Linked DNA regions of Solanum lycopersicum. The main gene of each other region encodes a partner of the protein of the gene in region 2 in a complex. Links are inferred from orthologs where the notes say so. Each region holds a gene or a part of one and is shown on either strand. Other genes may lie near its edges.

Region 1 (3,650 bases), on a different chromosome or scaffold from region 2:
CCAAGAATGACATCGGATATATCCAAAGGAGCTACGGTAAAGTTTGTCTTACCTTTCCACCGTCCTAAAGTGATGCCGACCCCATGAGCAATTCCACACACGGGAGTTGGTGGGGCATTGACCGTCTTGAGGCGATTGTTACTTGGAACAATTTTCAGTCCCAATTTCTCTGCCGCCGCCTTGGTCATGATGTTAGCCTCAGCCCCGGAATCTACCATGGCCCGAACTGCTTGCCCATTGATGGAGATATCCATATATTGTGTGCTGAAATCCCCCGGGTTGTCAGCCTGCTTTGCTATGGCACCACAGATTCCAACCATGCCCAATTGAGTGGTGTCTGCCGGTTTCGCCTTGTCTTGTGCCTCCTTTTCCTTCTGCTCACGGACGATGGCACCAAGGCTCTTCATCTCTGGGCACCTAGCGTAACCATGTGGTCCGCCACATATATAGCACCCGTCTCCTCTACTGGACTGCGTCCGCTTCTCCGAGAACTTTCGGCGTTCGAACCGTTTGCCATCGGACTTGGGTGTGTCTTGCTGCTTGGGTTGTGCCGACGGTTCTCTGCCTCGGCCACGGTCTCCCCCACCTTTAGCTTGACTGCCCTTTGCCTCCCTGCCCTTCGCCTTGTCCAAACGATCGTGTTTGAAGTCTGTCAAGGTCTCGGCTTGAGTGATGGCCTCATCGATGGTTTTTACTTGACGCCGCTCTAACTCGGTCCTCGCCCAATTCTGCAGCCCGTCCATGAAGGTGAACAGCATGTCATCTTCCGTGAGTTGGGGAATCTGGAGGGTCAAGATTGTGAACTCCTTCACATAGGCCCTAATACTTCCCGTCTGCTTCAACTCCCGAAGTTTGCGCTTCATCTCATAAACAGCATTGTTGGGGAAGAAAGCTTTCTTGAATTCCTCAAGGAATTGTTCCCATGTGTCGATGGTGCGTGTGCCCCTCTTGATCTCGGCATCTTTGCGTTTCCACCACAACATGGCTACGTCGGAAAGATACAACACGGCAGTGTTGATCTTGCTTGCATCGCTCCTGACCCGATTACACCTGAAATAATTTTCCAAGTGCCATAAGAAATTGCCTACCTCTAGGGCGTCTCGGACACCCTTAAATGTTGGTGGCTTGGGAACCTCGACCCTGGTCTCCCTCTCCTGGCCAAGTGATGCTGTTGCTGCAACCTCCCTCTCTTCTTCGAGGGCTACTACCTTGTTCTTCAGGGTCTGGATCATTGTGGTGGCATCCAACAACCTGAACTCCAAGGAGGTAATGGACTCCTTCAACTCCAATTCAGTCCGCTTGCGTAGATCCAACTCCTTCCGGATGATGTTAACTTCTTCAAGGGAATTTTCTTCAAGGTTTTTAACATCGCTGTCCAAACCATTCAAGCGCTGCCCCAAAATCTCAACAGCAAGTCTTGCCCTCTCAACGCTGGCAATCCATTCATGTCCAACAGTGACGTCTATAACGTCGTCGCTGACGTCGTCTTCACTTTCCACATCTGTATTCTCCTGGAAAGATGTTTGTCCGTCGCCTGGTGGAGGATCATTTGTTGGCAGATCGCTTGATGGTAAACCTCCTGGTGGAACACTGCCTGATGGCAGGTCGCCCGAGGGGACACTGCCGGATGGCAGGTCGCCTGGTGGAAGACTGCCTGCTGGCAGGTCGCCCGGTGGAGGGTTGGGCAGACTGGGTTCATTGCCCTTCTTGTTCTTTCCCTTTTTGTTCTTCTTTCCTCCCTGAACGTTGGGGGTGCCGCCACCGTTTCCTCCGTTCGTCATTTTCCTACGATAAACCAATGCTCTGATACCAACTGTCACGGACTTTTTGATTCGGACTAAGTTCCGTGCGGCACTAGACGGTTTACTCACGACTCTTGCACGTTCTTGCAAACTCTAGTAAGCCTAAAACTCAGATCGCTAAGAAAATAAGAAGTAAGACAGAACTTTGGAAGAAGGAACTTCTATTACTTGAAAATAATTGGATGCTTTACAAGTAAAGTAATCTACTATTTATACTACTCTAATGCTGCCTAAGAGTTAGTAAATAAACTATACAAGTTCCTAAGACTATGCCTACAAGACAAGCTTCTAAGTCTTCCAAAAAGGACTCCTAGATGCTCCTAGTCTGCCCCATGATCTCCACAAGCCTCTCAAAGACTTGTAACTTCTGTAACAGCCGCCCCACTAACTGTTGTAACAGCTGAAACTGCTGCCTCTTCAGCTGCTGCAGGCCTCCTTGGCTGCTGACCTGCGTGGTCAGCCTGCTCCCCTGCGCCTGCTGCGCCTGCTGGCTGCCTCGTTGGGTGGCGTTCGGCCTGAATGGATGGCGGGACGTCACATTAGGCTCACTTACTATATATATTAAGTTAATTACAAATAAATACTTTGAAGAATTTTTTGACTTCAAACTAATCAGTATAATCAAAATTATGGAACTCAAGATAACCTGTAAGTTATGACTCTTGAATTTTCTTTAAGTAATAGTTGAACTCTCAGCAATTCAAAGTACTACATGAACATGGAATTTGTTATGTGTTTTCCAGTCAGTGACTATTGATAGACCCCTCACTCAGGACTTTATCTGTATGTGTACTGTTGGTGGTTGGATTTTAATCTTTGTAAGGATGGAGGATGGAATCTTTAGTTCCAACATCTCTAAGCTTTTATGTGCAAGTGTTTTATGTAGCTTTTCTTAGCTGGTATTCTCTAGGCAAAACATTAACTTCTTACAAGCGCCCATAAGATAAACACAACAGTACTACTCCTTGATAATGGTTAACACAATTGTGACGAGATTGCTTACTTACGGAGAGGGGTATACTGAATTCCACAGTGGTTGACTTGTCATTTATAAAACTTTGTACCTTTATAGATTAGGATTTAAAAACTTCTAGCCTTTCTTATTTCTCTTTCAATATGATGGTGGAAGGGCGAGAAAAGAATCTAATCTTTATCGTTAATGTTTGTTTTGAATCATGCTGAAAACTTGTTAATAGCCTGCTTGTTGTATATTCTAATTTTGGTTTCAGACGAAGAAAGATGAGACATTAGATGCCAAAATGGAAAGGATTCCATTCCTTGAGGAGCAAGTGAGGAAGATAAGGGATGGGGGTAAACTATTGACGATGGACATTCATAGATTATTACTGAACGAGGACAACCGGTTTGATTTTGTCAATGAGATTGCAGCAGAGGCCAAACAGTATGTCGAGAACAACCGAGATGAGTATGGTGCAAAGAAAGCTATCCTTCACGTGCTTAGTAATCGTATGAATGATGCTGGTGTTTATCGCTCAGAAGCATACATGGACTCTGACCCCTTCAAGCCAGGCCCTGGATATTTGAAAGACGAACTACTGTAGATCATTAGTTAGCTATACTTTCTGTATTCATATAGCACTTCTCTAGTATATATATACACTTTCTACTGAGGGATTTAATGCCAAAAGATGAGAGTTAAAAAAATCATAGCACTTCAAAAAAATAAAAAAATACGATCTGTTTCTGCATTTAATTATTCATTGCAAAAAGCAGTACAATATTCTATGCAGATACATTTTCATTTCCATACTAGCTAATTTCCCTTTTTAAGACAGATAACTGGTTTCATTGGGTAAAGCATTATATATACACAAACAAAATTACTAA
Region 2 (4,259 bases):
ATCTAGACACATGGGACCTATCTATGTCGAAGTTGTCACTGGTACCTCTTTGATGTGTGTTAAAGCTGGTTTCTGACCTTTTTCTTTTTTCTATTTTGCATGGACAAGATCGATATTTTATCAGTTTCTTGATCATGGAGCTGCGACTCAATGGACATCACTTAGCTTATGTTAATTCTGTTGTAGTTTTAAGAACTTTGAAATGTTGTTAATGCACTTGTATTTGTTGCTTACTTGAATTTCCTTTTGCTTGTGGTAGATTTTGCGTAAAATGTGGTAGGAGGGCTACTTGTTTGTCTGAAGCTACGTGATTTATGAGTCAATTTAGTTCTGAAAGCACTGGTGCATCTGTTGTTATAGGACCTCTAATTCCTTTTGACTTTTTTTCTCTTCCTTTTGTACAGATATTGTCTTTGGGGGATGTGGCCTAGTTGATGAAGTTGGAGTAAACTCCATGGGAGACTAAGGTTCAAATCTTAAATAGAGGCAACACATTTGGGTGATCTCTTCCTTCTGCCTAAACCCTGGTGGTAGAGTTATCCGATACCAACAGTACTGAAAGGATGCAGGTACCTAGCGGAATAGTCAAGGTGCATACGACGACCTAATCATGCTCAGTAAGAAGAGAGCAATAAGCATCTCAAGACGAGATCTCCATAGTGTCAATCACTTGAAGTTTGTGATATCTTGTTTCTCTTTGGGGTTCAGGAAGTGCTGCCAACAATGCTATCACACATTATTAATCAGTCTTGGGACATGAACATCCTAACTCAGTCATATGCATAGCTGGAGATGAGAGTTACTTTATTGTAATGTTGACTAAGATTGTATCCAGTACATGGTGCTGTTGTTGGCCTTTCGATTAAATTAGTTGACAGGTTGAAGGTCTTTTCTATGTATAACAAAACATCCAAATGTTTTTCCTGGTACCTTACGTGGCTTTCTAGTTGCTAATCTCATGTCATATGGTTATAATTTTGTATATGATAGTATCATATGACAGGTGCAAATGGTCAAAATTCAGATAATGGTCCTCTGCATGTTGTCCAACATTCATATATTTGTCGATCAACTAAGTTTTGGTCCCAAATTAGTTGCATCAATCCTTTGATTTTTTCAGATGATTTATAATTACTTGATTCGAACAATACTTAACTAGATTTAAGTAAAGTTTTATTTGTAAATTCAAGCCTAATAATAAAAATGATATAATATAAAGTAATGTTTGATTTAAAATTATGATTTTATTATAATTATTTCGACGTCATTGATCCCTCTTACCGCCAACATTGATAATTTTTACACAGTGAAAACAAAGTCAGACACATTTTTAAATATTTATTTTGCTAAATTTCTTTATCACACCGTTTCCATAAAGATAAAAGAATATATATAAAAATAAATTAATAAATTAAGTAGCAGAATTGTGGAATAAAATAGGGAAAAAAAATCAAAAAATTTAAACCCAGGAAAAACCCCTGGGCACTCTCTCACTGACAGTAGAGTGGATAACGTTTCAAGAACCCAAATTCCATCGATGTATGAATCTTCTTTACTGAAATTCCACTAAATTTTTAGCTCACTCTCAAGAATGGTTTCTTCCACCATTCTAATTCAGCAACCGACGAACTTCTTCCACCAGCCAGAGCTTCACCATCAGGTTAGGCCTTCGCCCCCACAAAACCAAATCATTCAAGAATGAATCTTTTTGCTTTTTGATTTTATGGGTGTTTGATTTTTTAATAATTGAACCAGCTATGGAGAGGTCTGCAGCATGGATGTGTTGCATCATTGCAGAAACAACCTATTTTGGTATGTAATAGTAACAAGAGAAACAGACCTTTGAGAGTTTCTTCAAGTGCTAATGGTGCTGTTACTTCTTCCACTTTGGAGGCCTATGATTCTTCTCCGTCTCCTTCTGCATTTCCTCTTTTTACACCCCCTTCTCAACCCCAAGATACTCCCGCTTCTCAGGTATTTTCTACTTGCCCCTTCTGTTTCATGTTCTTGAAGTTCAAGTTTAGTTTAATCACATCTTGTTACTTTCTGTGTGATAAGTGCTGTTTTCTTTTGGTAAGCTCACTGTATAAGTGCAATATGCAACACTTTTATGTACTCTTTTTTGTAGTTAGAGTTTTGGCACTGCATACCTTTTCCTCTTCAGTCATGGTTTCTTTTACTTTAATAGAATGCCAAACAAACAATGGACAACAATAAGCACTAGTCTCTCAATAAATTGAAGGAAGTGACAGCCAGGCAGTTGATGTTTGGAAAAGATAGGAGTTACACTTTGAAGATCGATGGAATTGTTCTTATGAATTGGTTTTGTTCCTCATTCAGATTTTCTTCACAAATTATTTGGTTCTAGGTCAGGTCCCATATAAATTTTTGGTGATTACTGTGTTAGAAATACAAAATGTTCTACATCAGGTATAGGGGAATCATATACCTAAAGCATTCTCTACTACTCCTTCACTGCATAAATTTTTCTTTAATATGTCGGAATTTCTAACCAATTAGTAAGTCCGTTCTCACACGTGTGAGTCTGCATTGGTTTCAGATATATAGAATGCCTAACATCTGGTGTTTAGGGGCATCCAAAGGGTTATGATGATTTTGAGCTACTCCCCAATTACCTTAAGATTTTCACTTAGATGCTCATGTTCGTTCTCACGTTCTCATGCATAGATATCCCATTTCTATTGTTACATAGTCAAACTAATGGTTGGAATCCCTCTACTTTCTCGGTCTTACATCCTTTGAGAAGCTGATGAACATATATTTTCCTATTTGATTATTTCAAATTATCCTTATTTTCTCCTGTTCTAATTGTTGATGATGGTGGTATAACATTTTCATATGAACAGTTGGAACTGGCAGATCCTGATTTCTACAAAATAGGATATGTTAGAAGTTTTCGAGCCTACGGGATTGAATTCAGGGAGGGACCAGATGGGTATGGAGTGTTTGCTTCCAAAGACGTGGAACCTCTCCGTCGAGCTAGGGTGAGCACTACCTTACAACATGTTTGTATGTACAATGTTTTCCTCCTCCTGATGAAATGTTTAACTATATCAATTACCATCGGAAGCAGTGTCAAATTTACTGCTCCATCAATGTTTTACTATACCAAAAGCTGGACTTCATCCCATCAATTCCACCATGAAATTGGTGGGGGTAGGAAAAAAGGACATGGGAGAATTGTAATACCTTTAAACTACCTTCCTTCTCTCTGAGATAAGTATCTTTAGTTGATTTCCCTCATTTGCTTTTTAACCTTGATAAGTTATATTTGCAGTGGCTAGGCACTACTAATTCTTCTCCTGCTGTGGTGTATTTTATCATGTCCTACATAGTTTTGACTGTCTAATTCATTTGGCATTAGCTTGGCTGTTTGATTGCTCTTTTCGCACTGATTATCTTCACACCTTTTCGTTATCACTAAAATTCAGTGAATCATGAGGTTTTGTTTGTAATGCAGGTAATAATGGAAATTCCTTTAGAACTTATGTTAACCATAAGCAAAAAGCTTCCTTGGATGTTTTTTCCAGATATTATACCTGTAGGACATCCAGTATTCGACATTATCAATTCAACCAATCCCGAGGTAAAAGGATGCATTTTCCTTTTAAATATTTTAATTTTCCTACTAAATATTATTTAATGGAACACATGGGAGAATATTTATCCACATTTTCTTTGATTGGATAAAAATAAAAATTAGACGTCTTACCTTTTCCCTAATGGTACACATGAGAGGATTTGTTTTTATGCTCTAAATTTTTTCATTTTCTTTTTGGTTTTCTAAGATTTCTTGTGACTTTTTAATATTGATTACCTTCTTATGGCAGACAGATTCGGACTTGAGGTTGGCGTGCCTTCTTTTATATGCTTTTGATTGCAAGGACAACTTTTGGCAGCTATACGGAGACTTCTTGCCTAGTGCTGATGAATGCACTAGCTTTCTTCTAGCTACCGAGGTCTGGATATGAGTATCATCCAAATTTCAGTGCATTCAATTAATGTAATATTTTGTGGAAGATTCTATAGAAAATGCTATGCATTCACAAAATTATTCTGCACTTTGTTATGGTGTTCTGCTGAGGTTCAAGTTTGAGTAACTCGAAATGTGAATTAGAAAAGCTTTTGTGATATTCACACTGTTATGTGACCTTTGCTATTAGTGGGTTCTAATTTATAACAAAAGTTTCTTCGACTGAATCTTGTTTTTTTCCATGACTGTTGAAGCTCTCTTCTGT
Region 3 (4,203 bases), about 1.5 Mb from region 2:
CAAATTTCAAACATAAAGGATTTTTATCATCTTCGGAGAAGAAAAAATAATAGTACAAGAATTTAATAAACAAAGTGACGGTTCACCTTTGCTATCATAATTGAGTGAAAATAAAATAAAATTGAAAGATGAATTCCTTAGCACCAACCGAGCATCATTAGTTTCCTTGAAAATCCATTGTAAGGCATTTTGACGAATGAAAAGGCTGACTTGGTCCAAAAACAAAATTTCCAACAAGCAAGGCAAGTTCTAAGAAAATAATAGACAAGTCCGTAAGCTCGTCTGACTAGTCTAGAAAACGGGACATAGAAAACTTCCTTATGAATCACACTTTAATTTATGTCATTAACAAGCAATATTTGTGATAGAAGTTGAACTACAGGTAAAACAAAGATGGTACATATAGAGTTTCAAGATTTTCTGCCAATTATGGCGATAAAGCTATGCGGAGAGGGACTGATCAACGAGCTATGCAAAGGTTATCGGATGTTAATGGATGGTGAGAAAGGCGTGATCACAATTGATAGCTTAAAGAGGAACTCTAAGCTGATGGGATTGCAAGATTTTAGTGATGAAGAATTGAAGAACATGATTAGAGAAGGAGATATGAATGGTGATGGAGCTCTTGATAAGATTGAATTTTGTATTTTGATGTTTAGATTGAGTCCTGACTTGTTACTTGTGGCTCAACAATTGTTACATAAAGCTCATCAATAACAAAATAATACTGTCCACCTTAAGTGATACTGTACTACTATTCCTGATTCATCATATTCATATGTAATGTTTCACTTCATTTGTCAATGTTAAACTTTTCTTCTTATCAAGTTAGTTTGCATACTATAATTCAATTAAATTTCACAGAGACGTTATTTTCTACCAAATATAGGTATTGCGTTAATAGCTTTATCCAACAAAGGACAAATAAAAAAAATCACCTACGATATTTTTATCACCCCAGAATTTTCAACCCTCTCCATTAGCCTAGCGGCCAAACTTAAGAACATATTTGGACCAAAAGAGGTATCAGTGAACCAAACTTTAAATGGAGGGTATATCTAAACCTTTTCTAATAGTTTAGGGGTATATTTGACCCTTTTCCCTTTAAAATATAATTGTCAAAATACCAACTTAGCTATATAATAAAACTAATTACTCAACTTTCATTAAATATCCCAAAAATATTCTAGGCCAAAGACCAATAAAAGCTAGGCTAGAAATCACCCTAAACAATTTTTTCCCCTCTCAAGTAAAATAAAAAATAAACCTAAGTTTGGAGCAAAGGTAGGTGTTTTACGAGACAATATTGGGTTATGGTATTCATTTGGATAAAGTTTAGAAATATTTTCGCCTCATGTCATTAAAAATATTTAATATTTTTTATGAAGTTTCAACTTAAAATAAATATTGGCTGTTGTTTTTATTCATTTGCTCTGCCCTCCCATCCTTCAAAATAAAGTTGAAATATTTCTTATAGGATTAGAACAAGTAGGGACTGGACAAACGGAACTTGAGATTTAGCTTCTTCATTCTCAGGTAGTCCTTTGTTGTATTTTTAAGAAAGGTAACAAAGTACTTGCGAACGGATTATTTATTATTGCTATAAACTTTGATTCTATGATTCACTAACCTTTAGCTCTGCTGTTTGCCATTGTTGTAATCATCAAGTTATAAACATAATTAATGCACTGTTGGTTGCACTTGTACTGTATCGACAGTCTGGTAACTTATGCACACAACCTGTTTGATTATTTGCTCATTAGACTTTTATCCTCTATGCTTCAAAATAGGTAACCTTTTAACTGTAGCCAGAAGCAGACTTAGGATGTTAAGCCAGTCCATGTGGAGTACCACCATCTATACTACTATTTAGTGTCGGTGGGTGACAATGCTGACTTAGTTCAATACATTTTTGTAAAAGTGGGCTAGTAGTACTGTGCTCAACAATTCAACATCAATGTTATGGCTTCTACAGTTGACTTTGTTTAACTACATTTTGAATGTTATGCTAGTCTTTTTCTGTTTGTCTTTTAGTTATGTACATAAGAATATGGAGTGGATGTTTTCTATTTTGTGTTTTGTAGAAAGGAGTTTGATAAAATCTGTTCTTAATTTTGATTGGTGTTATCGACAGGTTTTTTATATTAGGAGTTATCCCTAATAGAGATTTTGATTTTCCAGGCGAAGTAGTTAAGCGAGGGAAGATGGTCATCCATTCTGCATTAAATCTTAACTTTTGTGCTATTTCATCACTCTCTGCACTCAAAGCAGGGCAACATTGTAGTTCTTGCTCTTTTTCTAACTTCCTATTGCCGCCTCCTTTGAAACGTTTGACTTGCTTTGCCACTTCAAAAAAGTCTGAAGAGGAACATGTGTCTGATCCTAAGAATAACTCTGGTTCAAGGTCTAGAAAAGCTATAAGGTCCCGGGAAAGTAAAGTAACTCATAACGAAGACAAAGATTCTGCCAAGATCTTCCCATCAACAATCCCTAAAAAGCCAAGGCGTGGTCGCAGGAGCGAAGCAGCTGCAGTTGAGGATTTTGTTCGTGATTCATTAGAAAAGACATTTGCCTCTATCCGAGAGCAGAACTCTGATATGATGAAAGATACCGAGAATATCCTCAAAGATAGGGTTGATGATGACACTGAGTCTGATGAAAGTAGTGATGATGAAGATGACAGCAGTAGGGATAAGAAAGAAAAGAAAATGATCATTGAGGAGGAGGATCCAAATTGGCCTCTGGATGCAGACGTTGGATGGGGAATTAGAGCATCAGAGTATTTTGACAAGCATCCAATAAAAAATGTTATAGGAGAAGATGGAGTTGAGATCGATTGGGAGGGGGAGATTGATGATTGCTGGGTGAAGGAAATCAATTGTCTTGAGTGGGAGAGCTTCGCTTTTCATCCCAGTCCCCTCATTGTACTTGTTTTTGAGAGATACAATCGGCAAGTGGATCTTGTTTTGTTTACAAATTGAAGTCCTAAAGGATATATTCTATAAGCAATATGCAAGTCTTTTATGTTCTCTGAGACAATTGCTAATTGCACAGGGCTAGTGACAACTGGAAAGCTCTTAAGGAGCTGGAGAAAGCAGCCAAGGTGTATTGGAGTGCCAAAGAGCGCTTGCCTCCTCGGGTTTGTGAAACATAATCACTTCTCCTTACATTGTGCATTAGTAAACCCTCTTATCTTACATTTCCCCTAATTACTTGGTGTAGACTGTGAAGATTGACATTAATATTGAGAGGGATCTAGCCTATGCGCTTAAAGTCAAAGAAAGTCCACAGATATTGTTCTTACGAGGAAACAGGATACTATACAGGGAAAAAGGTACTCTTTATATATCCCCTCACTAGTTTGATAAAGTAATTGTAATCTTTTCAGCTAAATTCATTGTTATGTTGAATGATTGTTTACTTTGCAACTCCGGATAAATTTGTGCAGAAATTCGTACAGCTGATGACTTGGTTCAAATGATAGCATATTTTTACTACAATGCGAAAAAACCTTCATGCATTGATGATGCAGCTTTATCTCAACAGTCTTAGTCAACGGAGGTACTGATGCTGACTTGTCTAGGCTTTCATTGAAGCTCATAGATTAATGTCACTAAAAATATTTGAACTTCTAGCACGTCGCAGATTAAGAAAGAGGCAGTGGAGCATGGATCTATCCCTGTATAACTGGAACCAATTGTGGTCGTTTTGTCACTGGAAAACAATTGACCAATTGAGGGCAGAACCTTAGAAGAATGACTGGTTGAAACGAGATCATGGTACTGCTCGCTTGATGCTTGCAGGTGCTGATGTAATTAGCAAGTGGAAGGTTGAAGAAAAAGGTTATATCCTATAATGTGCTTAAATTAGTGCCACATTTATTACTATATAGAAGAGGATAGTTGGAAAGAGAACACTCAGTTGCATGATCTTACTTTAGTTCTATTTGCTTGTTTACATATCATACTAGCCCTAGATGTCTATAAATTACTTTCTGTATTTAATTAGAAAAGTTCATGCATCTTCTGTTACTTGTATCTTGACCTTGCTGGCTATAACTAAATTAGAGTTATTGTTTTCGGGGGAGACGTATGTCACGCTAGGTACGGAACTTTTTTCCATTAATACTAACCTAGATAGATATGAATGGATAATGTATATACCTTGCTTTATTCCATCTTAAGATAAGAAATTAAAGTTAAG

What was found.
Region 1: protein PLASTID TRANSCRIPTIONALLY ACTIVE 14 (region 2) and protein PLASTID TRANSCRIPTIONALLY ACTIVE 7 share a complex: the UniProt entries of both Arabidopsis thaliana proteins name them as parts of the transcriptionally active chromosome (TAC) complex. The link is inferred for Solanum lycopersicum from reciprocal best matches to the Arabidopsis thaliana genes PTAC14 and PTAC7.
Region 3: protein PLASTID TRANSCRIPTIONALLY ACTIVE 14 (region 2) and thioredoxin-like fold domain-containing protein MRL7, chloroplastic share a complex: the UniProt entries of both Arabidopsis thaliana proteins name them as parts of the transcriptionally active chromosome (TAC) complex. The link is inferred for Solanum lycopersicum from reciprocal best matches to the Arabidopsis thaliana genes PTAC14 and MRL7.

Annotation. Positions count from the first base shown.
Region 1 is NC_090802.1:49,579,360-49,583,009, reverse strand, and holds the end of protein PLASTID TRANSCRIPTIONALLY ACTIVE 7, read left to right. Parts: intron 1-3,031; coding exon 3,032-3,364; 3' UTR 3,365-3,516; downstream 3,517-3,650. UniProt on the Arabidopsis thaliana protein: Essential for chloroplast development, especially for thylakoid formation. Involved in plastid gene expression, probably by maintaining plastid-encoded RNA polymerase (PEP) activity.
Region 2 is NC_090801.1:61,881,592-61,885,850, reverse strand, and holds the start of protein PLASTID TRANSCRIPTIONALLY ACTIVE 14, read left to right. Parts: upstream 1-1,366; 5' UTR 1,367-1,591; coding exon 1,592-1,660; intron 1,661-1,755; coding exon 1,756-1,974; intron 1,975-2,867; coding exon 2,868-3,005; intron 3,006-3,481; coding exon 3,482-3,607; intron 3,608-3,851; coding exon 3,852-3,980; intron 3,981-4,259. UniProt on the Arabidopsis thaliana protein: Essential for chloroplast development, especially for thylakoid formation. Involved in plastid gene expression, probably by maintaining plastid-encoded RNA polymerase (PEP) activity.
Region 3 is NC_090801.1:60,373,678-60,377,880, forward strand, and holds the start of thioredoxin-like fold domain-containing protein MRL7, chloroplastic, read left to right. Parts: upstream 1-1,326; 5' UTR 1,327-1,536; exon of another isoform or gene 1,537-1,630; coding exon of another isoform or gene 1,631-1,664; exon of another isoform or gene 1,665-2,181; 5' UTR 2,182-2,204; coding exon 2,205-2,950; intron 2,951-3,054; coding exon 3,055-3,139; intron 3,140-3,222; coding exon 3,223-3,334; intron 3,335-3,448; coding exon 3,449-3,552; 3' UTR 3,553-3,561; intron 3,562-3,635; exon of another isoform or gene 3,636-3,645; 3' UTR 3,646-4,203. UniProt on the Arabidopsis thaliana protein: Plays an essential role in early steps of chloroplast development. Involved in the regulation of plastid gene expression. May positively regulate plastid-encoded RNA polymerase (PEP) activity through binding to FSD3 and CITRX/TRXZ.